Linked DNA regions of Rhinolophus ferrumequinum. Each later gene encodes a partner of the first gene's protein in a complex. Links are inferred from orthologs where the notes say so. Each region holds a gene or a part of one and is shown in the gene's direction. Other genes may lie near its edges. The genes, in order: DRC1 and EFCAB2.

The links.
Region 2: DRC1 (region 1) and EFCAB2 share a complex: the UniProt entries of both Homo sapiens proteins name them as parts of the nexin-dynein regulatory complex. The link is inferred for Rhinolophus ferrumequinum from reciprocal best matches to the Homo sapiens genes DRC1 and DRC8.

The regions. Positions count from the first base shown.
Region 1 is NC_046296.1:54,079,129-54,089,720, reverse strand, and holds the start of DRC1 (dynein regulatory complex protein 1), read left to right. Parts: upstream 1-5,680; 5' UTR 5,681-5,768; coding exon 5,769-5,923; intron 5,924-7,778; coding exon 7,779-7,866; intron 7,867-10,592. UniProt on the Homo sapiens protein: Component of the nexin-dynein regulatory complex (N-DRC) a key regulator of ciliary/flagellar motility which maintains the alignment and integrity of the distal axoneme and regulates microtubule sliding in motile axonemes.
Region 2 is NC_046310.1:16,396,757-16,408,203, reverse strand, and holds the start of EFCAB2 (dynein regulatory complex protein 8), read left to right. Parts: upstream 1-6,506; 5' UTR 6,507-6,620; exon of another isoform or gene 6,621-6,750; intron 6,751-7,103; 5' UTR 7,104-7,202; coding exon 7,203-7,233; intron 7,234-11,447. UniProt on the Homo sapiens protein: Component of the nexin-dynein regulatory complex (N-DRC), a key regulator of ciliary/flagellar motility which maintains the alignment and integrity of the distal axoneme and regulates microtubule sliding in motile axonemes.

The DNA.
Region 1 (10,592 bases):
TGGTCTGCCTAGGACTTGCTGTGTTCATGGTAAATAATGTAGCCTTTATTTTATCTGGTTATGTGTGGTATATGTATATACATATTTAATATGTACACATATATTCTCTGTGCATATATATGTATGATATATTCATATAAATATGCGGTCTGCTCTTGATTATCAGCGAAGTGGTAAGCCCTCATTACACTTTACTCATGTTGACTTAATCTGCATGTAGCCCATTACCGTGAAGCCTCTTCCCCACTTGGAGCCACAATCTTGCCTACTTCCAGTTCATCTCAGCCCTCAAGAAAGGCCCTTGAGATATATCACTTTCCATTTCCCTTTCACCAGGGATTATGGGAGCCAGGAAGACCACTTCTGAGAAAGATAGCTGCTCCCACCAGGGTTGAGTCTTCTGGGTCTAGACGATGATGGGACCCACTCCTGGCCAGAAGTCAGCTCTGGGAGCGCTTCTGCTCCTGAGCTTGATGGGGGAGGAATCTAGCTCTTGCAAAAGTGGGGCTTCACAACTTGCTTACATTCCTTAGCTGGAATGTTGTGATATCTTAGAAAAGTCTTTGATGTACAGCTAGAGTACAGCCATGCATTTCATCATTGTTTTTGCATCTCAAGTCTTTGATGTACAAATGAGTACAGCCATTTCACCATTGTGTTTGCATCATCAGAATTACTGTTCCCCATTGTTGGTCCAGATAATCAAGACCTGACTGTTTCTTGCCACTGGATTCTGGAAGCCTTGCCCTTTCAACTGTATTTATGTTTATTTCTGCTGCTGTGAAACTCAAAAGTAATGCAGTAGGTTTTAATTTAAAATTGTTTAATTCTATTATTGATAAATATTTATTGTAATAAAAGTAAAGAGTAAGTAATTTTTAAATCCTTTCAGTTGTTTTCAGATTGTCTTCTTTGTTTTTCCTTGGTAGGTACAAAAGGGGAGGGAGCTCTGGGGAGAAAATTAATGTCCAGCCACTTGTCTCAAAGAATCATTGATGTCTTTAGAGCAAAACATTAAATAGGATTTTTTGTTTTGTTTTTTAAGAAAGATCAGCCTTGTTTGCTCCTGGGTGTTCTATAATCCTGTGACTAGTTTCAAAAAGCATAGTTACTAGGCAGTTGGCAGTAGCAACTGTTCATAATGTACTGTTCTTGATTCCCCCAGAAATGGGTACTGGGCAATATATAATAATACCTGGGTCACATTGAAATTAGTTTGTAAGGTAGTTGTTTCATACTCAAAACATTTTCCCATAGAGTGTTAATGTATGGTGTTAATTTTCCAGGCTAATTCCAAGAACCTAATAACCCACACTTAGTACCCCAAAACTATAGTATATGAACGATAAGCTCTTATAAAAACTTTGTTTTTCTAGCATTGCTTTTGAGGAGAATATTTTTTTACATCCTGTTTTTTACATCAGAATTTATTCTTCAGTTCTGGCAATGGGCATTTAAAAAAATCGTAATGGGTTTGAAGAAGGTGAAGGAAGAAATGTCCCAATATGAACCCAGGCTAATTATCCAGCTGTGTGCTCTTAATCCCCTGCCCTCCCAACTTCTTGGTTGCCCTCACAGTTACCTTTCCTTCTATCTGCACATTTCAAATGTGTAGCAAGTACCTGACACACCAGAGGTATGTGCTAGGTCACCACACTTGGGTTTCAATCTAAATTTTAAAGGACCTGGTGCTGCCACCGTGTCTTGTTCCTCTTCTGCTCTCATCCTTTTCCCTCTGATCACAAATTTCCTGAAAGAAAACTTCCTAACTGCTTTCATTTTTCTTCTTGTTTTCATTTTGAGTTTCTCAAGGCCACCCAAACTTTTAATACAACTTTTTTTAAAAAATAAATTTTATTGGGGAAATATGGGGGAACAGTGCGCCTCTCCCAGGCCCATCAGCTCCAAGTCACCGGACCTCAATCTAGCTGTGGAGGGCGCAGCTCAGCTCCAAGTCCAGTCCTCAATCTCCAGGTACAGGGGGCGCAGCCCACCATCCCATGCGGGAATTGAACCAGCAACCTTGTTGTTAAGAGCTTTCACTCCAACCACCTGAGCCATCTGACCATCCCTCTGGAAGCTCAGTGGCAGTTCATTGTCTTCAATCTAGTTGTGGAGGGCGCAGCTCACTGGCCCATGTGGGCATCGAACCGGCAACCCTGCTGCTCAGAGCTTGTGCTCCAACCAACTGAGCCATTCGGCCTCCCCAACAACTGTTTTTTTAACTTATGTTCAACTTTGCAAGCTTTGACTCGGGGCAAGTTACTTATTTTTTTCTAAGCCTCAGTTTCTTCATCTGTAAAATGGGATTAGTATCACCACAGTTACGTGTTATGAATAATGCATGTAGTGTGTTTAGCACTGAGTGGTCTCAGGGAGGTGCTTGATTTCTACTAATACCTAGTTCTCAAGTTTTTTACCTTTGATGTTTTCCCTAAGCCATATGACCTACTCATGACTTCCCTTCCTCCTTTCATACCTTTTGTAGGCAATACATAAAGATGATGATGAGACAGTTCTAAAAATAACTAGAAATGAAGAAAACAAGATTGCCTTCTGAGAATCTATTAGTATAATTCATATCAAATGGGAGATAGGGGTAAACCAAGAAATTATGTAAATGTTTGATGAATCCCCAAATCCCAATTAAGGTGATTCGGTGTGACCTTATGGATGTAGAATTAAGACGTGTGTGACTTAGTATGCCAAAATTTAACCAACATAATTCTTTTTCGGGAAGAAGACTAAGCTGAAGTGAATGACCAGCCTGTAGCATAGCAAAGGAAGCCCATATATCCAGGTTTTGCTTTTGTCACCCAAAACTTCCCCAGGGATGAGGGTGCCATGCCCCAAGGACTTGACCTGTTCAGTCTTTGTGGCAAGTTGTTCCCATCGTGGGCTCCTGAGTCCATTGTATATCATCAAGAAACTTCCCAGTTATAGTTTGATTCCCTTTGTAGGTCAGACACGTAGATGTGCTGGTCACCAGTCATAAAACACACACATGCCCTGTGTGTCAGTTGTAGTTTTTTTGCTCAGATTAGTGTATTCTCTATATGTTTTTCTTTTTTGAGCTTATTAGTGTAAGTCAGTTCTCAAAAGCAAGTCTGCTTTTGGAATATGGGCTACCAGTTGAGGACCAGACTCCAGGGGCCAGTGAATTCTCCTATGTCCCTCCCCCAAAAACCTCTCATCTGTGAGCCCTACTCTTGCTCACTACAGTCTCTTCAGGATCTCCTGTTACCACTCTTTAAAAAAAAAAAAAAATTAAATGAAAAAATAAACTTTATTTTTTGTTACATGAAAAATGATTTGTGTTCTTTGTAAATTTTTTTAGAGAATTAAAAATCATCCATAGACCTAACCCCCAGAGATATCAACTACTTTGTGTTTTTCCCTCATTTTTCTTGTGTACATACTACATATATTTTAAATAAAATTGGGATCATCCTCTACATATTGTGCTGCCTAATCTCTTCCTCTGTAATATATTTTGGATGTCTTTCTAGGTTAGATTTATAGTGGCTACATTGTTTCTCATCCCATGAATGCTTAATTAGTTCCCCTATTGATGGATTTTGGGTTACATCCATAATATTACAGATAACTGCAGTGAGCATACAAATAAATTGTACGTTTCATTAGAAAAATATTTGTTGAGCACTCATGTACATACCAGCTATTGTGCTAGGTGCTGTATGTAACAGTGCTGAATAAAATTGACGTAATTTTAACCCAATGGAGCTGTAGCCTAGACCCATTATCCCCAGGATAATTCTTTTAAGTAGAATTGCTTAGTCCATGCATATACTTAGTGAGAGGTATTGGCAAACTGTCCTAAAAGGTACCTACCAGCAGTGAATGAGTGTCTTTAAAGAGATTTATTACGTAATCAGGGCTGTCTGACCACAAGGAAGATCTCCCAGTTGGTTGGAAGATGGCTGGAGAGAGCCAGGAAAGGAGCCTGGCTCAGGGCTTTTATTGTGGTTAAGGGGTGGGGATGGATGCACACTGTTGGAACCTCCCGCCAGCCAGGGCCAAAGGAGAGAGCACCCAGGCTTTGTTTGTTTGTTTTTTAAAGTCAGCTGCCCAGATGTGGAGCAGAGGGAAAAAAAGCTGTGAAGCTTAAAGGCTGTCAGAAATCAAACAGCAAAAAAGGGAGTCAGATTCCTTATCTGTCTGGAGTGATGGTATCGGGGATACCTTGATGGCCAAGTATCTTATTGATCACTCTCCATCGCTTTTTATGGTACGTGTCCCATGTAACTGCTGATTCCCACTGACTTTCTCATGGCAGCCAACTCCCAGCCGTAGTCGTGCACACACACTTGGATTTGTTTCTCTTCTCAAGGTGGTGCAAACGTGGGCCAGGACCAGTAGGCTTCCTGGTCAGAGCACTACCTCTGATTCCATGGCCCCTAGGGAAGTTTAATACTTGAGGTTACAACTAAAGGGGAGAGAGATTTGACGGATCCCTAAAACCCCAAAGCAAACATACTACTACCCCCACTGCTCACCCCAAGATGTGGGACAAGGATTTGGGCAGCTGTTGGAACTCTTGGCTGTTCCAAGATTTTGGCACTTGCTCCAGAATTTTGGCACTCCTAAATCTATCACTTGTAGACTTGCAAAAAATCCAAAACACCAAAACTCTTTGCCTCTGGGGAGGTCTTACAAAGCGCTTGTCTTCTTTGGCCCCACAATTGCCTGAGTTGAGTAGGCCGAGAGTAGTACCATATGCCAGTTGGAAAAATGGTACTCACGTGGTTGGGACTTATCCAAGGCTGCAGGGCAGGTCTAGGACTAGGACCCGCATTTTCTCACTACTCCAGAGCCCTTTCCCCAGTTTCCCACAGGTCAATGGAACAAGACCCTGTCAAATATCCAGTTTGTTTTTTTTTAAAGGGCTTTAACTCTCAAGAAGAATACTATTTTTGTTGACAACGAGACAAAAAAACACCCAGGAAATAGGGCTTTTTCAAGGGACAATGCTTCCTTGAGGGTTTAATTGTGCTTCTGTACCCTGTTATTTCTCCCGGCCCCCCACGCCTCTGGGTACTATTTCCCTCTGCTCCCCCTTTCTTCTTTCTGTAAGTATGTGATTGAGGGTAGTGGTGGTAGAATTGTCCTAGGTTTTAGCCCTACTGAAAACGGCTACAGGAGACAACAATCCCTTGCTGGGTAAAAATTTATTGATAGCTGGGGGTTTCACGTTCTAGCGGAGAGAGGTGCTCCATGCACAAAGTAGGACCTCAAAAATGAATGGATGATGAATAGATGGATGCGATATACTTTAGTTCAAACTTTCCAAAGAGGCAGTAGGCTCGGAGCAGACCTATTCTGTACCATCCATGAGGAAAGGTCAACACCCATACCCTTAGCACAGCGCTTGGCACAGAGGTGCTCAATAATATCTGATGAACATGATTTTGAGGAATGTTCGTTTGATGAGTGAATGAACGATGAATTCATCATCTGTAAGCAATGAACCACAACTTGGTCCAGCTCTTTAGTCTTCCAGTCTCCGCTAATATGACCGGGCCTTCGTGGTGGCCCAGGACCGTGCACCCCAACTGCAGGAGAGAGCAATAAAGCCCAAAGCTGGGGCACCACGTTCTGAATGCCGGTGGGCGGGGCCTAAAGAACTGCGCGTACACTCACTTCCGCCGCGGGTCAGGTGACTGCTTTTCCCTAGTAACTGCTTGTTGCTAGCAACGCGGCGGCGGTCTGGCGGCGGTCCCCGCGGAGCTGCCTGGGGAGACACCGCTATGAATCCGCCCGGACCCCTGGGGGACCTGGAGGAGACAGAGGAGGAGCATTTATCCGCTTCGATTCTCCGGCCCTCGGTCCATTCTGATAACCCTCAGGAGCGGATCCAGGCCCGGCGTCTCCGCATAGCGGCGCGCCTGGAAGCCCGGAGGCGGTGAGCGGGGTGTGGGCGGGCCGGCCGCGGGACCCGGGAGCCCCGGAACCCCGGAGGTAGTGCGGGGCTGAGGGGAGCCGTTGACCGGCGCTGGAGCCCCTGAGGTGAGGGGCCGGAGTGCCCCAAGTGTGAGCGGGCCTTGTTTCTTAATGAGAGAGAAAACAGGTGCAAGCAAAGTAGGAGACACTAAAACATTTAACACTAGTAAAGTCAAAGGCGGAAATAATAATCCCTTCAGCACTTTTGTTGACTGCCTGCTGCACCAGGCACTGTGGCGAATACACTGAAATGCAGGCCATGCATGGCCTGTCCTCGGAGATGTCTCTCCTTCCTCCCAACCTGCCTTCCTCCACAAGTATTTACCCAGTGGACCTCAGCTATTATTTCTGGTTTCAGTGGCTTATCTGGTTGTGTGACACAAAGCCTCGCTCGTGAAGAGTCTGAGATGGAGAACCTTACCCCTCTCAGGCCAGGGCGTCCCGCGCCATCCATTCAGTCACAGTGGACTGGCTGTCCTCAGGGGTACCAGGAGGCACCTGTGTGACCCCCTGAATTCCTGAACGCCCTCGCTATGTAACAGCACTTACACCTTGTCCGGCTGGTCAGGGTCGGCTGCCCTACCGAGACGGTGGCTTCTCATCTGTGGCCATTGGACACACGGGGCCCAAAGTGGCCTGGCTGTGTTCCAACCAAACTTTACTTATGGACACTGACGTGTGAATTTCACGTAATGTTTATATGTCACAAAATGTTCTTTGTATTTTGATCTTTTTTCCTCTAAATTAATAAAATTCGTGTTTAGAGCTGTTGTAGGTTTACAGCAAAATCGAGTGGAAAGCGCAGAGGTTTCCCATATACCTCCTATCCCCCCCCCCCACACACAAATGCATAACCTTCCCCACCATCAACATCCCCACCAGAGTGGTACATTTGTTACAATTGATGAACCTCAGTGACACATCATTGTCACCCAAAGTCCATGTTGTTTCACTCTTGGTATTCTATGGATTTTGACAACTATATACTGACATGTATCCACTGTTAAGTATTGTACAGAATGGTTTTGCTGCCCTAAAAATCCTCTGTGCTCTGCCTGTTCATCCTGATCATATTTTTTTAACCATTTAAAAATGTAAAAATCATTCTTTGCTTGTGAGCCATACAACAACAGGTGGGTCAGATTTGTCACACAGGCTATAGTTTGCTAATCCTGATATGGTTTATCAGTGTGATGTTCTGTGAGATATCCAGATGGTCCGGATCTATTCAGACTATACTTTGACAGAGATCAGGAGAATGAACACGGCCCCGTGAGTGTGAGTAAATACTATTATCAACTTTTTAAATCTTTTCCAGTCTGATAGGAGGGTAATGATGCCTTATAGGGTTTTCACTTTCATTTTTCTGGTTATAGGTGAAGTTGAACATATTTTCAAATGTCTATTTGCCATTCGTATTTCTTCTGTAAATTGCCTGTTCACACTCTTTGCCACCTTTTCTATTTGGTATTTTGTCTTTTTTTGTATTGATTTGAAGGAGCCCTTTCTATTTTATAGAGAGCAAAATTTCATCAAATATCTTTTACTGGTTTCTCCCTTGACTTTCAAGAATAAAATCGAAAAATTTTAGGAAGTAAAATCATTCAATCTTTTTTCTCTCTCAAACTTTGGTCTTATTCTGAGATGGGCTCTCTCCTGTATTTACTTCTAGTGTTTTATGATTGTGTTTTTTTATATTTACATTGTTAACCATATGAAGTATATTTTTGTATGTGGTATGAAGTAGTACGGAAACTTTGAATATAGATTTTAAGTACTGAAAATAACTTCAGTTTCTCTACTGTTTTCCATCACAGGGAAGCGCTTGGAGACTATTTAGATGGAAAGAAAGAGAGTGAGGAAGATCAAAGCAAGAGCTATAAACAGAAAGAAGAAAGCAGACTGGTATGAACTGGGTAGCAAATGAGTCCTCTCAGGCCTGTGAGACTAGAGAGCTGGGTGTGATGCCATGGTTTTCGTATTTAGACTAGAAGAAACTCAGTAGAGATCAAGTCTCAATAGAGATTCTATTTCTGTCTCTTGGCAGAACTGAGTTTGAACGTTCCCCATTTGGGGAGCTCTCTAGGACTGAGCTTTCATAGTATAATTTCTTATGTGATGCTGTGTCTTCTTTGCTCCCACACTTTTAATGGTATTTATTCACAGGATAAAGTCCAAATGATTTAGCTTGACATTCAAGGCCTTTTGTAGTCTGTCTACATTTGAACTCTCCAATCTTTTCTCCCATTATCACCGAATTTGGGCCTCCACTTTGGCTAGGCCCATCCAGTTACTCACCTCCAGTGGGGCGTGCTTCTTCCTGCTTTGTTCCTTTGACCATCTGGAATACCAAGCTCCTCTCCTCCCCTTTTCCTCCCTTCTCTCCTTTACTCTTTCTTCTCTCCTGACATCAGGTTACCTTCCCACACTTTAAGACCATCTAAGTTCCAACCCTTCCATGAGTTCCTCCGCAGCCCAGGCTGAACTTTAATTCACACATTGAGCCCTTTTTGTCTATGGAATTCATTTCATCTTGGATAATTTTCTGCCTTGTATGACTTTTCCAATGTGTGTGCACACGATGTCCCCAATGAAATTATAAGCTCTGTGAGAGCGAGAGCCTGTTTGTGTGCCTGTGGAGTAGTGCATAACTTAACAAACACGAAAAAGAAAATCGATTGTCTCCCATGGCAATGACAGGGCTCCTGGGATATTTAATAAAGGACTTGGAACAAGAGGTGCTGGAGGGATAAAAACACCAGTTCAAAATAGCAAGCCAGACCTGGCAAAGTGCCGCATTGAATTAATTGTGAAGTGAACTGCATAGACAGTGGTACTGTAGGAATTGAGATACGCAAAATTGCTAACTAAGCTGGTTTGGTCAGGGAAGGTCATATGGAGAAAGTGGGATTTGAGCCAGGTCTTAGAAAAATAGGTGGGATTTATAAAAGTGGAGAGGAGAGAGATCATTTCTGGCAGAAATTGAAATGTACTTAACTGGGAGAAAAAATATTCAAGCTACTGAAATATTATTACAGAGCATAGAGACACATGGAGAATAACCTGTACTGTACCGAGTCCAGGATGAGATATTTTACTGTAGTGGAAAGAATATTGAGCTGTGGTGGGTTCTCAGTCCAGACCTGTTGCTTACTGGGAAGTACATGAGTCATGTCACCTCTTTGTACCTGGGTTTCTCCATCTAAAGGGTCAGTGATCTCTGAGCATTTCTGTGTAGGATCAAAAGGATATTATACGTAATCTTGAAAATACTGTTATAGTTTATATTGATATAATCTTGAAAATGCTGATATACAGTTCATCCTGAGAATGCTTTAATTGAGTATAAAACCAAAAGGATGATATTGTTTTCATTAGCAACTTTTCAAGGTTCCTTTCACTTAGGACTTAAGTCATGAAATGCATTGTCATCAAGGAGAAATGTATACCAAAAAATGTTACCTTCCACAATATCAAGGCATTAAAAACCAGTTCTGCCCTAAGACCTGGGCAGGAGGGGCTCCTGTCCTTGGCATTGTACCTTATTAATCATTTTTAAGGATAATTCTTTTTGTTTTTTGTTTAATCTTCATCTACTCCAAGTTGATGAGGCTATTCTTCCGTATTTTCTTTTACTGGAAGAATAAAACTGTTCTACTATTTACATTTTGGTCTGTAATCTATCCTGAATTGATTTGCGTGTGTGGAATAAAGGTAGGACTCACAGTTTTCAAAAATCTAATGAGAAGTGTCTCCAGACACCATGATGTGTGGAAATGTGGCCTTCCAGGTTCCCCAAAATACTCTGCGGTTCGGGAAGGTGGCACCATGGTGGTTGAAAACCTACCTCCTGGTTTTTCCGCCATCAAGGTCCTTCATGTCTTTCTCAGCAACCTTTGCCCTCCTCCCTGCTTCCGGTATGCCCATCCAGGGAAAATAAGGTGGAAATGAAGACTGAGGTAGCCTCTAAGGGAAATAGAAGTTACAAAATCAGTTTTGTGAAGGCGGAAAAGATGTTGCATTTTTTACATATTGAAGGCAAGACACCCCACCACCAAAAAGATGAATACTACACACTTCATTGTGATGGTTTGGAAATGAACCCATAATATCTCTGAGTTCTTGGGGCTGCTCCAGTTTCTTCCCAGCAGCCAACCTGAAGTGGGGACTTCGTCGCTTCAGAACCTCCACTCCCCCTACTTCAGTCTTCACTGTCAGCCCTGGCCCCCACCCCAACCCTTGACAGTCACTACCCACACCCAGAGTGACAACTACCTCCACGGAAAAGTATGACATGACACTGTTAATTGCTAACTTGGTTCACACGTGGCAACCCCCAGGGCTGTTGACATCACACTATATAAACAGTGTGACTAGCTCTGGACAAAAACAGTAACTGCTTACATACCTTTATACAGACAAGGTGGTTTTACCTACTCCCAAACCACTCTAATGAAATGACATGGCTTAAAAGAGATGGAATGTTTCTGAGCCACCTGAGCTGATTGTATCAGGCAATTTCAGCCAAATTCCCATTACTAGGTAAGTCAATGAGTCAAAGTTACCAGGGCTGAAGGATCAGGCATTCAACCATTCAGCAAATATTATTGCGTATCTTGCATTGTTCTAGC
Region 2 (11,447 bases), on another chromosome or scaffold:
ATGGTGTTCTGTTTAACAGATAATTGATCCCATAACGTAGATACAAACCACTGTTGGGTATGCTGTGGTTATGATAAAGGCATAGTATACACTATACATCATTTGAAGGAGAAAGTAGCTTTGGTGGGTGGGTTTTTCAGTTTTGTGGGTCAATAATTTCATAAACTTTGGAACCAAAAAAACCCCCAAGCCCCCAAAGCTGCTAGCTTAAAATTACCAGTTCTAAAAGTATCTTAGCAACTAGAGAACAGCTCTCAGCTGTCAGGTTTGTAGACGTCCTGTTGTACCAATAGACTGTCCATACAGACTTCATAAATATTCTCTGAATACTGAGTGAAAGGTCCTTCTCCAAGAATGGAGAGCGGGGCTAAAAAGAACAAGACCCCTCCCCCCCCATCACCTTCCAGAAGTTTGCACCTGCCTTCCTTTTATTACTTGGTGAGGAAGGATTGTGAATATGTAAGAAGAAACGAGAGGGAATAGAGAACTAGTTAAACCCTTCACCAGGTAACCAGTTTTCCCTTGGCTCTCCACTACCTGACCCTCATTCCCTGTGCATAAAGGACTCTCCCTCTCCATCCAAGCCTTCCTAAAAATAACTTCCTTTCTAACCTCTCTCTCCTGTCATCACTATTCACTCCAAATCTCACACTTCCTTTCCTTCTTGAAAATATAGCTGTAGCTGACCTGAAAAAAACAAAAAACAACAACAAAGTATAATGAAAATCAACCCAGCAAAACCTGTGAAGATTTTGATCTTCGTATGTTTGTGTTATTTGGCTTTGTGATGGCCTCTGTTGGGGGAGGGGTTACAGATCCCTGTTCTAGGGCAGTTACTGGGTAATGTGGAACTTTATTAATATCAAGGAGTTAGCTTTCAAGTCACATGAATATTTAGTCTCATCTGTTAGTCACAGGCATTTTATTCAGTGTACATGGACATGATCACAGGCCAGGCCTACAGAGTCAAGGTGAGGCATGGCACTGAGCTATTTCCCCCTCAATTCTAAAGCGGCAAAGGGTACTGGAATTGTCTGTAATGTAAAATAATATTACAAATTTACTTTTTAGTATCTGTTTGGTGATTATAGATTGCAATTAAAAAGTCCATCTGTAATATATCTGTAACTATGTATTTATCCCCATAGGCCATTTTTCTTTTGTCCTGTAAGAGCCACATGGACTGTCATTAATTTGTGTAAACTCTGCGAAGGAAAACTAATTATTGGTACAGTAGGGGAGAAGTAAGAGCCACATGTACCTGGCACACTCTCTTACCGTCTTAGACAGAGTCAAGAACTTTATGAATCAGGAACAACATCTGTAAACATTTTCTGAGTTCAGAATGTTTCTAACATCCTCATTTGTTAATTTTATTATCCTGTCTCTTTAGGTCATCAGTGAAACCCTTGAAATTTAAAAAATGCCCACATGGTTGTATTGAAGGGTAGCAAGGAGAGTGGAGCTAGAGGGATGCTCCAGCCCCCTTCAGAGTCTCCCTCCTCAGCCCCCTGAATGGACAAGGCCTCCTTTGAGAGACAGGAGAGCAGGCCGAAGCCTTGGGTCTTGATACAAGAAGAAAATGAAAAATGCAGAATAAGATTCTGAGGCAGAATCTCAGGAGAGACTTCGGGGCTCCGCAGGAGAAAAGCCACATTTCCTCACATAGAAGCACTTTGGGAATGTTAACTCTTCGGAGAGGAGATAGAAGCACTTTGGGAATGTTAACTCTTGGTTTCTTCATCTTTAATATGGGCATCGTATTAGTATCCTTCTTATAGGCTTATTTTGATGATTAAGTAAGGTGGTCCGTGTAAAATGCTTGGCATCGTTTCTAGAAAATAGTAACTGCTCCGACTAGTATCGCTATTGGTCCTAGAGCCCTAAGAGAGTCACATAGCCATAGGCCAAAGAAATTACATCAGGCCAGAAGCAACGAGGCAGCGAGAATTATAGGTTGCCTCTATATCCCAAATGGTCAATCTCCTTATCTCCATGTAACCTCCATGTAAACTCAGATGGGGAAACTGAGGTTACAAAGAAGAAATAACATATCCAAAGTCATAGCATAAATGAGCAAAGGACTGAGGTTGAATTCTGGGCCCATTTATCTCCTAAGACTATTTGCTTGATTCTTCTACACAGCATTATCTCCTAACATAAACATTAACATAAATGAAACTTAATTTCAAAAATTTCTTTTTGAAGCAGGAACTGAAAAATCATCCCAAAGCCAATTATCAGCATAATTCTATACTTTTTCTCTATTTTCCCACGTAAACAGGAAGAGGTGATGTGAGCAGCCATAAACATTTATTGACTCTCTGGGTCAGCTCCCAGCCTTTACCTTTCAAGTCTTATTGTCAATGAATAAAGAGCAGAGACTCACCAAAAGTTGCTTAGCAATGAGTGTCCCTGCAAAGTGCTCTCAGGACAGGAAATGTTTAAGTAATAATGAATTAAACAGTGGCTTGCTGTGGCGATGTGTGTTTTTAAAGGAATCAGAAAGAAACATGTGTTTTTGACAGAAATAGGGCCCAGAGTGTGATTTTTCCAAATGTTTTCAAGAGTTGTGGATTCATGTAAGATTTACTTGCAAGCTGCCCCCAGTGCTGCAGTTCCAGCTTCCTGCTCTGGGTCTCCCTGAAAAGCCTGAAGGAACTGTGGCACTGAAAATGCTCTTGTCCAGGGCCAAGAATTTAACACAACCTCCTCAACCCCATTGAGGCCTGAAATCTCCATGTGCAGGAAAGTGAGAAGGAAAGAGAAGGTAAGCAGACCACTGGATCACGGTGGACAAGTGAGTTTCACCTCCTCTCCTGCCATCCAGACGCCAGGTCTTTAACTGTCTGGTCAAACAAGGACAAAGGGCATGCCATCATCTGGTTCCCTTCAAGTCCCTAAGAGTCTCTGCCAGTTGTTTTAGTTGATGTTCTGAAGCAGTAAAAAAAAAAAATAATAGTAGGGGCGGAAGTTGACTAATTCTGCCCAGAATTTTTGTCCTTAACATTCTTCTTAAGATATTCAGTTTACGAAATAGCATAGAACAATGTTATCTTGAATTTATAAAGAAGCAGTATAGCACTAAACGGGGATACTAGTATCAGCCTTATAGGGATTAAAAGAGATAATGTATACAAAGTACTCTTTTGAGTTATTTTTATTTTTATAACTGTAATGAAACCCAACTGTTATTCTGTTGTATTCTGATAAGGTTTTCCTTTTGAGATCATAGGGTAAGGCTACTTGCACTCTGGGTAGGTGTCGAGAGTCTTCCTTGAGGGGCTGGGCATTCTTGATGTGAATTATCCAGGGAAGGGCTGTATCCTCAGTTAGGAAACGGGAATCAGACCAGAGAAGCAATTCCCTCCCTCTTATTTTGCTGGGTCTAGAGCTCAAGGATTCTAGATATGCTTAAGGTCACTCCTGCTTGGTAAGGTTTAAAAATGGCTAGATGGAAACCAGGAAGGGGCCACACACTGAAGATGGTGACCTCTATCATGTAAAATAGATCTTGTCACGTAGGCAGCAGAGGCCCGGAGTCAGACCACCTCCCACTGTGTAGCTGAAGCATTGGAAAAGCAAATTCTCCAAGTGGAATCTGAATCTCAGGAAAGAAGTTGGGCTTTGACCTTTAAGGGCTCTTTCCTACGTGGAAGTGGGGTTTTTTTCATTTAACGAGAGCAGATTTCCTTGCAGGTTCTTTTCAAAACTTCTGGTTATATCTATTGAGTGTCTTGAAAACATTAAGATAGGTAGTTTGGACATTGCTGCGACTCTTTCTGAGTTAACTAAGTTTTAGAGATTATATGACCTGACCTGCCTAGGGTCAGGAGGTCAGTTCTGGCAATGACGGAGGAAAATCCAGTTTTTGTTTTTTCAGCTTATTCCTGCCTAGTCCAAGGAGATTTCAATGATTGCCATATGAGGAAAGTAAATATGAAGATTTTTTTGACTATCATTTTGCATTATTCACACCATTACCCATTCCACTTCACCCATATCTTAGGTAACTGAATCAACTGTATTCAGAAGAAACAGAAGTTCCCGTGTCCCTCATGGGCACGGAACTAACACCTATAGAAAAAGATTTAACTCACAGTACATTCAAACATGCAAAAGGACAGAACTTTTTCATAGCCATCTGTCCCCATTGAATAATTGATCAAGTAAGTGTCACAGTCTAAAACTATGCTCTTGCTTTTCTGATTTAGTCCTAAGGTTATATATCCATGAATGGGAACAAAAATAATTTTTCCAATTCTGTATTTCTGACAAAATCACTGAGATTCTTAAGTGAAAGAATGCCTTAGCAGCATATAATATTACAAAGTTACTCAATCTATAGTTCGGAAACGAAATATATTCTAAGGAAAAGAAATGGTTGTAGTTTGCCATTGTCCTAAGTGAGCTAATTATATTTCAAAAAAGTTAAAATTGGAGGTCAAGTTTCCACAACCAAAGAAAAGTGGAAAGTTGAGTCAAATATCAGCATAATGCACATAATTACTCATTGGTATTGTGGGCCTTTATTGTGTTATTCGGTTATTTTCTCACTTCGTGGAAAGTTTTCCAGAATAATTACATACTTTTACGTCTAATTAATCAATTGAAAAGTATATATTAAGCTTCTAATATGTGCCCCAATTTAGGCTAGGGATTGTGGGTATATAAAAGGTGATTAGGCTCTTGTCTTCAAACCTAATTGGGGGGAGGGGTTAATTAACATCTATTAAATTTTTTTTTTTACTCAGTCAAACTTAGAGAAACAGTATTGTATTAAATATGCTGTGGGAATTCAGAGAAGTAGAGATTAATGTGGTTTGGAATAATCTAAATAATAAACTTTGCTTCTCAATCATTGACAAGACTAACTCCTGGTTTAATTTTTAAAATACATATTATTTCAGACACAAAAGTTGAAAAATTGTTCTAGGCATTGGGGATATATGGACAAATAAAGCGTTTGCTATCCTCAAGAGCTTAGTTTGGTAGAAGGAAACAAGCAAATAAACTGTTAAAAGAAGAATCAACAGGCCAAAATGGAGTCACTTTTGCTAAGCCATGTTACTGAAACTTAATAACTTAACTTAACTGCAGTTTCAGTCTTTCCCAGGTGTGAAACTTGAAAACAGTCTGGAATTTCCTGACCAACACCAGTTAGGTAATCTGCATGATTAGACACCCTGCCTTCCTCTAAGGGATGATGTCCTTGCCTGAAATAACCTACTCTTAACTTCCTAGTGCCACCTTCTTTCTGCCTATAAAACCTTCCATTTTGTACAATTCATTGGAGCTCCCTTCTTGTTGCTACCGGGGTTGCTGCCCAATTCATGAATCGCTTACTACAGTCAATTAGACCTTCAAATTTACTTGGTTGAATTTTGTATTTTAGCAAAACAAAGTCATCGACAATCAATGTGAGATGCTCTATGAGTACAGGATAGAGGAAGAGGTTGACAGGAAAAGCTTCCAAGGAGGTCAGTGACAACCAGGAGGGAACAAATGTGACTGTGGGAGGGTGAATGTTGGGGTAGGGAGAGAGAAGAGAAAGGCATTCCAGAAAAAGAGAAATGCAAAACAGCATAGGAGAAAAGGCACAGGAAATAGGTATAGGTAATAAACCTGAGACCAAAGTTGGTTTTCTACATTTATTTCAAAGCCCTTCATTATCTATATGGCCAGTGGGCCTCTTTAAACAAATAAGTAGACCATAATGACTATGACATTTACATATAAATGCTAATGATTACTTTCCATATTTTTGGGTGTGAAGAATTTACTGTACACAATTGTATTCATTTTTATAAATATCTATCTTTGAATATGAGCCATTTGTGATGATGCCATCGTTTATATTCAGTTTCAAAGAGAATGCTGATCACAGCACCACATGAATATCTTCTATAGAAAAAGTACTTACTTTAATAAAGAAAAATCGTAGTTTGCTTTAGGGTTTACTGAGAAATTATAGAACCAGAATTAATAAAAAGCATAAAAACAGTAAAATCATAGAATACCTTGTATTTTGAAGGCCTCTTACTGTTTTTACATAACATCAAGTCATTTACATTAGTACACATATGCACTTAAAAAAATCATCCAAGATTAGTTTTAAAAATACATATTCGTTTGACCCTCATTATTAGGCATATTATTCAAAAATCATCTTAAAAAGAAAATATTCTTGTATAGTGAACTTCTCGTTAAAATTTTAGAGACCAAAATTTAACATCATGTTCCAGTTGCAAGTTTCAGAAAAGCGGGCTGTAGGACTTTTCCATAGTAACTTTAACTAGAGGTCAAGTCCAATTTCACAACTAAGAACATCTTAACCTATTGTAGCAATAAGCACAACTCGGGCACGTTTTTTGTCGCTAGGAGAACCTATTCCGTATCAGAAATTGCAGCCTTGACGACGCAACCTATTTTGCACACGTTTTTCTCCAGCTATTTCTTTCTTCAAGTAATAACAGTCAAATGGCTCTGATTTCCTCTTGCACCCGGCCGAGTTTTGCGTTTAGCTCCAGTTCCCATAGGCGGTGCAGTCGCCGTCCCTGGGAGCCGGCGGCGAGCCATGCCTGGAGCGGAGCAAAGGCGGACGGCAAGAGCAGGGGCAGGTCGGCCTCTGCGCCGCAGCCAGCCGCTTCCCAGCGCGACGCGGGCGGTGGGTGGGAAGGGGGAGGAGGCGGGATTGCGGGGGGGTTCTGTCACCCCCTCGGGAGTCGGGCGCTTCACCCAGCTCTCCAGGTGCGTTTTAAAATCTGCAGTAAAAAAATCAAAAATAAAAATCGAGTAACGCCACGTCGTCCCAGGAGGGGTGGGCGATAGCTGTGTGTCTGATGTCCCCAAATGCATCAAAAATAAAGGAAAGGAGGCTTTCGGAACTTTATTAAATAACTCCTCTACGTCAGAGAAATCAGGGCTGAGGCTCCGCTTTTGCGGGGAAAGTGCTCCAGCCGGTGGAGCGGCGCGGGGGGCGGCGGGACCGGGCTCGGGTCTCGCAGGCGCGCGAGGGTCGCGGCGGGAAGTGGGGGAAGGGCGCGTGCTCGGAGTCGCCCCTTCCCCCGATTAAGGGTCTCCTTCCCTCCGGGTTCGAGCAGCGGTCCTCCAGGCCCGACTCGCCGCGGGGGCTGGAGGGGCAAGGACGCCGCGCCCTCGGTTAACGACCGTCGTCTCTCGGGCAACGGGTTCCGCACAAGATGGCGGACAATAAAGAAAGGGAACACTCAGGTAAGAGGCTGCCCTCGCCGCCCGCGGCGACCCGGGCCGCGCAGGGGAGCGCCGGGTGGGGCCGGGTGACCCTCCATCTGGAACTCCCACCGCAGGGCGCGGTGACTGCGGAGGGGGCCGCTCTCCCCGGCTCCCGCCGCCTCCCCGGCCCACGCCTCGGCCCCGCCCCGCCCCCGTCTCCTCCCCGCCCCGCCCCCCTCGGTCTCCTCCCCGCCCCGCCCGCCCAGTTCCTCCCGTCCCCCTTCTTCGTCCCTCCCTCGGGGGACCGAGCCACGGTTCCAGCCTGGGTTGCGGCCGAGGCACTGGCGGCGTAGGGCGATAATGGCGTCCTTGTTCACGGTCGCGGGGACCCCGCTTCCAAACCGTCGCCCCGGCTCTCCGGGCCGCAGGCGCCACGCCGGCAGCTTCCGGAGCTGTGGTCCCCGGGCCGTCCTGGGTGAGGACGGGCCTGGCCGCCGGGTCCTCTCCGGCCGCGCCGCAACCCCTCCCCCTCCCCAGGCGTTTGGCTCCCGCGGCCACCATTTTGCCTCCTCACCGGGGACATGGGAGGACGGCCTCGAGGTCACAGTTGTCCCCTCCGCGCCTCTAGGCTCCGAAATGCCTCTGCTCTACCGGCTGCGCCCACCCGTCTGGGGTTTTGTTTTAAAACACAAAACAAAACACGATGTTAATAAAGACGACAGAGCAATCGAGCGGGAACGCGCACTAGCTCCCGTGCGCCGACTCGGCCTTTGCCGCGGGCTCGCGGCCGCATCAGCCCGCCAACCCGGTCACGGGCGCGGCCAACGTGGAAGGACGGGGCTTCCAGGCTCCTGGTCACTAGATCGGAAGGATTGATGTGTTCTTTTGTGCGGAGAAGCGATTATCCACGTTTATTTGCAAGACCTTTGTTTTCACTGAACAGTATAATCCAATACTGGGTTACCATCCTCTTACTCGAAAATGTCTGTTTATGTTTGGGAATTGGCAGACTCATCGCAAAACCAACATCAAGCCATAACTGTAGAGGTGCACATCTTAGAAATGAAAGTAATTCATTCCACCTCTGTTTCCTTTTTTGAGAGATCTAAGCACACCCTATCAACATGCCTTTTTTCTCAGCATGGAACAAAGTGTTTCAGGTTAACAACTAATATTTACAAGTGAAGAAGCCAGTTCTGAGATAGTCAGTTGTCATGGTGATCACAGAAAATTCAGCGGGGAAGCACAAAAACTGCGAAGATCTGCCTATAGATAAGAGTCATACTATTTCATTTTTTCATGGTACCCTTAGTCTGAAAGGACAGAATTATTTTATATAGATGTCAACGTTCCTAAGATGTCCTTATAAGTTATCATACTGCATTAAGGTACATTCTAATAAAATTATTATTTGTACGGTTTTTTTTAAAACTCAGAAAACCAAATGACTTAGTTATTTTAATTAATTCTTACAAAAATGTAAACAATCATTAGGAGATAAGTTACTTGTGGATATTTGTGTTTTAGCAAAAGATTTGATTAGGTCAGCATGAGAAACAAAGCACTGGATTATGTTGCAAATACAATTTTTTTCTTTACTTTAAAAATAGATTGAGAGCTTTTCTGATTTTTCAGTTTTCAGAAATATTTTTGAAATACATTATTTAAAATAATTCAGAGGGAGAAACAATCTGTCTATAAGTATAGAAGAAGTAATGACTGTTAAAAGCTGTATGTCATTCATTCAGTTGGCATATTTAATGCCTATCATATGGAAGGCATTCTGATTAGGTTAGAACTTTGGAGGATATAAAGATGACAAAGCCCTCATCTTTTCTCCCTAGAAAGGTAAGATCTGTAGGGGAGATAAGATATCCACAATGGGAAGAACAGTTAATGGCGCTGAGAAGCCAGTATGCCAGATACTGTCCCAGGGGTGTTCTAGCTCCTGGTGTGTGGACAGTAGCCTGGGCATCACAGGGAGCTTATTAGAAAAGAAAAATGTCAGTTCTTGCTCCTGACCTATGAATCAGTCTTCATTTTAACAGATTTGGTGACTCATATACACATTAAAGTTTGAGAAGCACTGTTGTATGGTATATCTCATTTATTCTTAACAATTTTTTGAGTTAACTATAATTACATTTTGAAGGGCATGATGAAATAAAGGCACATGCTGTCTGAGGATAATCTTTGTATTGACATTGCACTCCTATATTTGATTCTCAGCTTTGAAGATTAGAAATTACATCTAGCCAATTAATCAGAATTGATCAGACTTTGGGGAGTCACTCAAGCTAACTAAACTCATGAAGAGTGATGTGCAATCCTGAATAATGATTTATTAACTTAAATAGTGTATGTTGACGTCTTGACCAGAAAGCTGATCTCTGCAATGTAAATATATAGTTTCACGGGTATTAAGGTTTTAAGGAGGGTGAATTTATATTTTAAAAAGTGCTTGATGATCATGGATTCACACAAAAGAAAGGATAATTTTGGAGGATATATCCATTACTCTATAAAGTTCAAGAGGGCGGGGACCATATACTCATTGTCTTGTACAGTGCTCAGCTCATGGTAGGAACTCAATATTTGTTGAATTTAGATCATTTGAATTAATTAAAGATGTTTATGTTTTAACCAAAGCATTGCTTGCTGTTTCCCCAAAATTTATTTTCTACCTAAAAGTAGATAAAACTGTTGTTAGGTTTTTTTTTCCTCTTCGTTATAGGTAGGCTTATTTCATCTGGCTCAACAATTTTTGAAAGCCAAAGTATTCACTAGCCTGTCTTTAAAAAACAACCACCACAAAATTATCTTTGTAGAAATATGCATATGTTTTAACTAGTTCATCTTTAATCGTGAGATATATTATTTAGTTGTTAAGGAGAACTAAGTTTCTGAGAGTAGCCATTATATCCAGCTCTTCCACATTTAGGGATTAATCTTGATATAAGTATTGAGAATGTTGGTTAAAAAAAGTTAACTAAATCTATGATGGGCTATTATGTTCTTTTTATAAAAATTTTCTGTAAGATTATGTACATTTGAAGTCTATGCTTATTTGTAGCTTTTTTGTGCTTTAATATAGTATAATTTATTTTTTCCTACATTAAGAAATCTTTGTTTAAATGGAGAATCAATGCAATAGTTGATTCTTTGGATCTTTAAATCTTATTTTATTGTGTCTGTCTCCTAGAGAATTTTATATAGGAGTGGAAGTATCTTCTGTTTGTAATTAGAATCATGCCTAGAAAACAAACTGCTTAGGAATAAAATTCTAAATAAATATAAGCCTGTAGAAGAGGGAGCCAAAAGGTAGCAAACCAAGTGGATCTGTAAAACCCTGGGAAGGCACAGGGTTGGAGGCAGCAGGCATCTCTGAAGGCATGTGTGTGGAGTGAGGGTAAATATAGGAGGTTTGGATAAAAGTCATAAAGCAGGTGGTTGAATCTTCCATTCCCTGGAGTAAGCAGGTGATCACTTCCCTTCTAGAAGACTGGAAGTTTACCCTCTGACGACCTTAAATCAGAGACTTAGAATTTAGGGATGCCTGGTACAGTTGATAGTAGAGAGTGACGTGCCCTAATTATTATCGTTACCAGCCTTATTGAGGTGATTATAAGTTACATAAATGTCTAATCACTATAATGTACACCTGAAACTAACATAGTGTTGTGTGTTAAGTGTAAATGAAACATTTTTAAAAATAGTTTTGTAATTTTATGAAATAATTCTAATTTTGTGAAATACTTTCAAATTTACAGAAAAATTGTAATAGTGGAGAATTCCCACATTCCCTTTACCCAGATTCACTAATTTCAACATTTTGCCACATTTTTATCATTCTCTCATATATGTAATATAATACATTTTGTAATGTAACATGTAAGATAACATTATATGTGTATATTTTTTTACTTGAAACATTTGAGTGTATGTTACATATAATCATGCCACTTTATCCGTTAATACTTTGGTGTGTATTTCCTAGGAACAAAGATAGTCTCTTATGCAAAATCTCTATGAAGTTCAACATAGAGACAATTTTTTAATCTAATTCTACAGCCCATATTCTAATTTTGTCAGTTGTCCCAGTTGTGAGTAGTGCCTGTGATAGCATGTCCCCCTCTAGCACAGGTGTCAGTCCAGGATTACATATTGCATTTAGTCGTCGTGTCTCTTTAGTGTCCTTTAATTTAGAGCAGTACCTTAGTGTGTATTTAACCAGAGCTGACAAGGATGTTTAG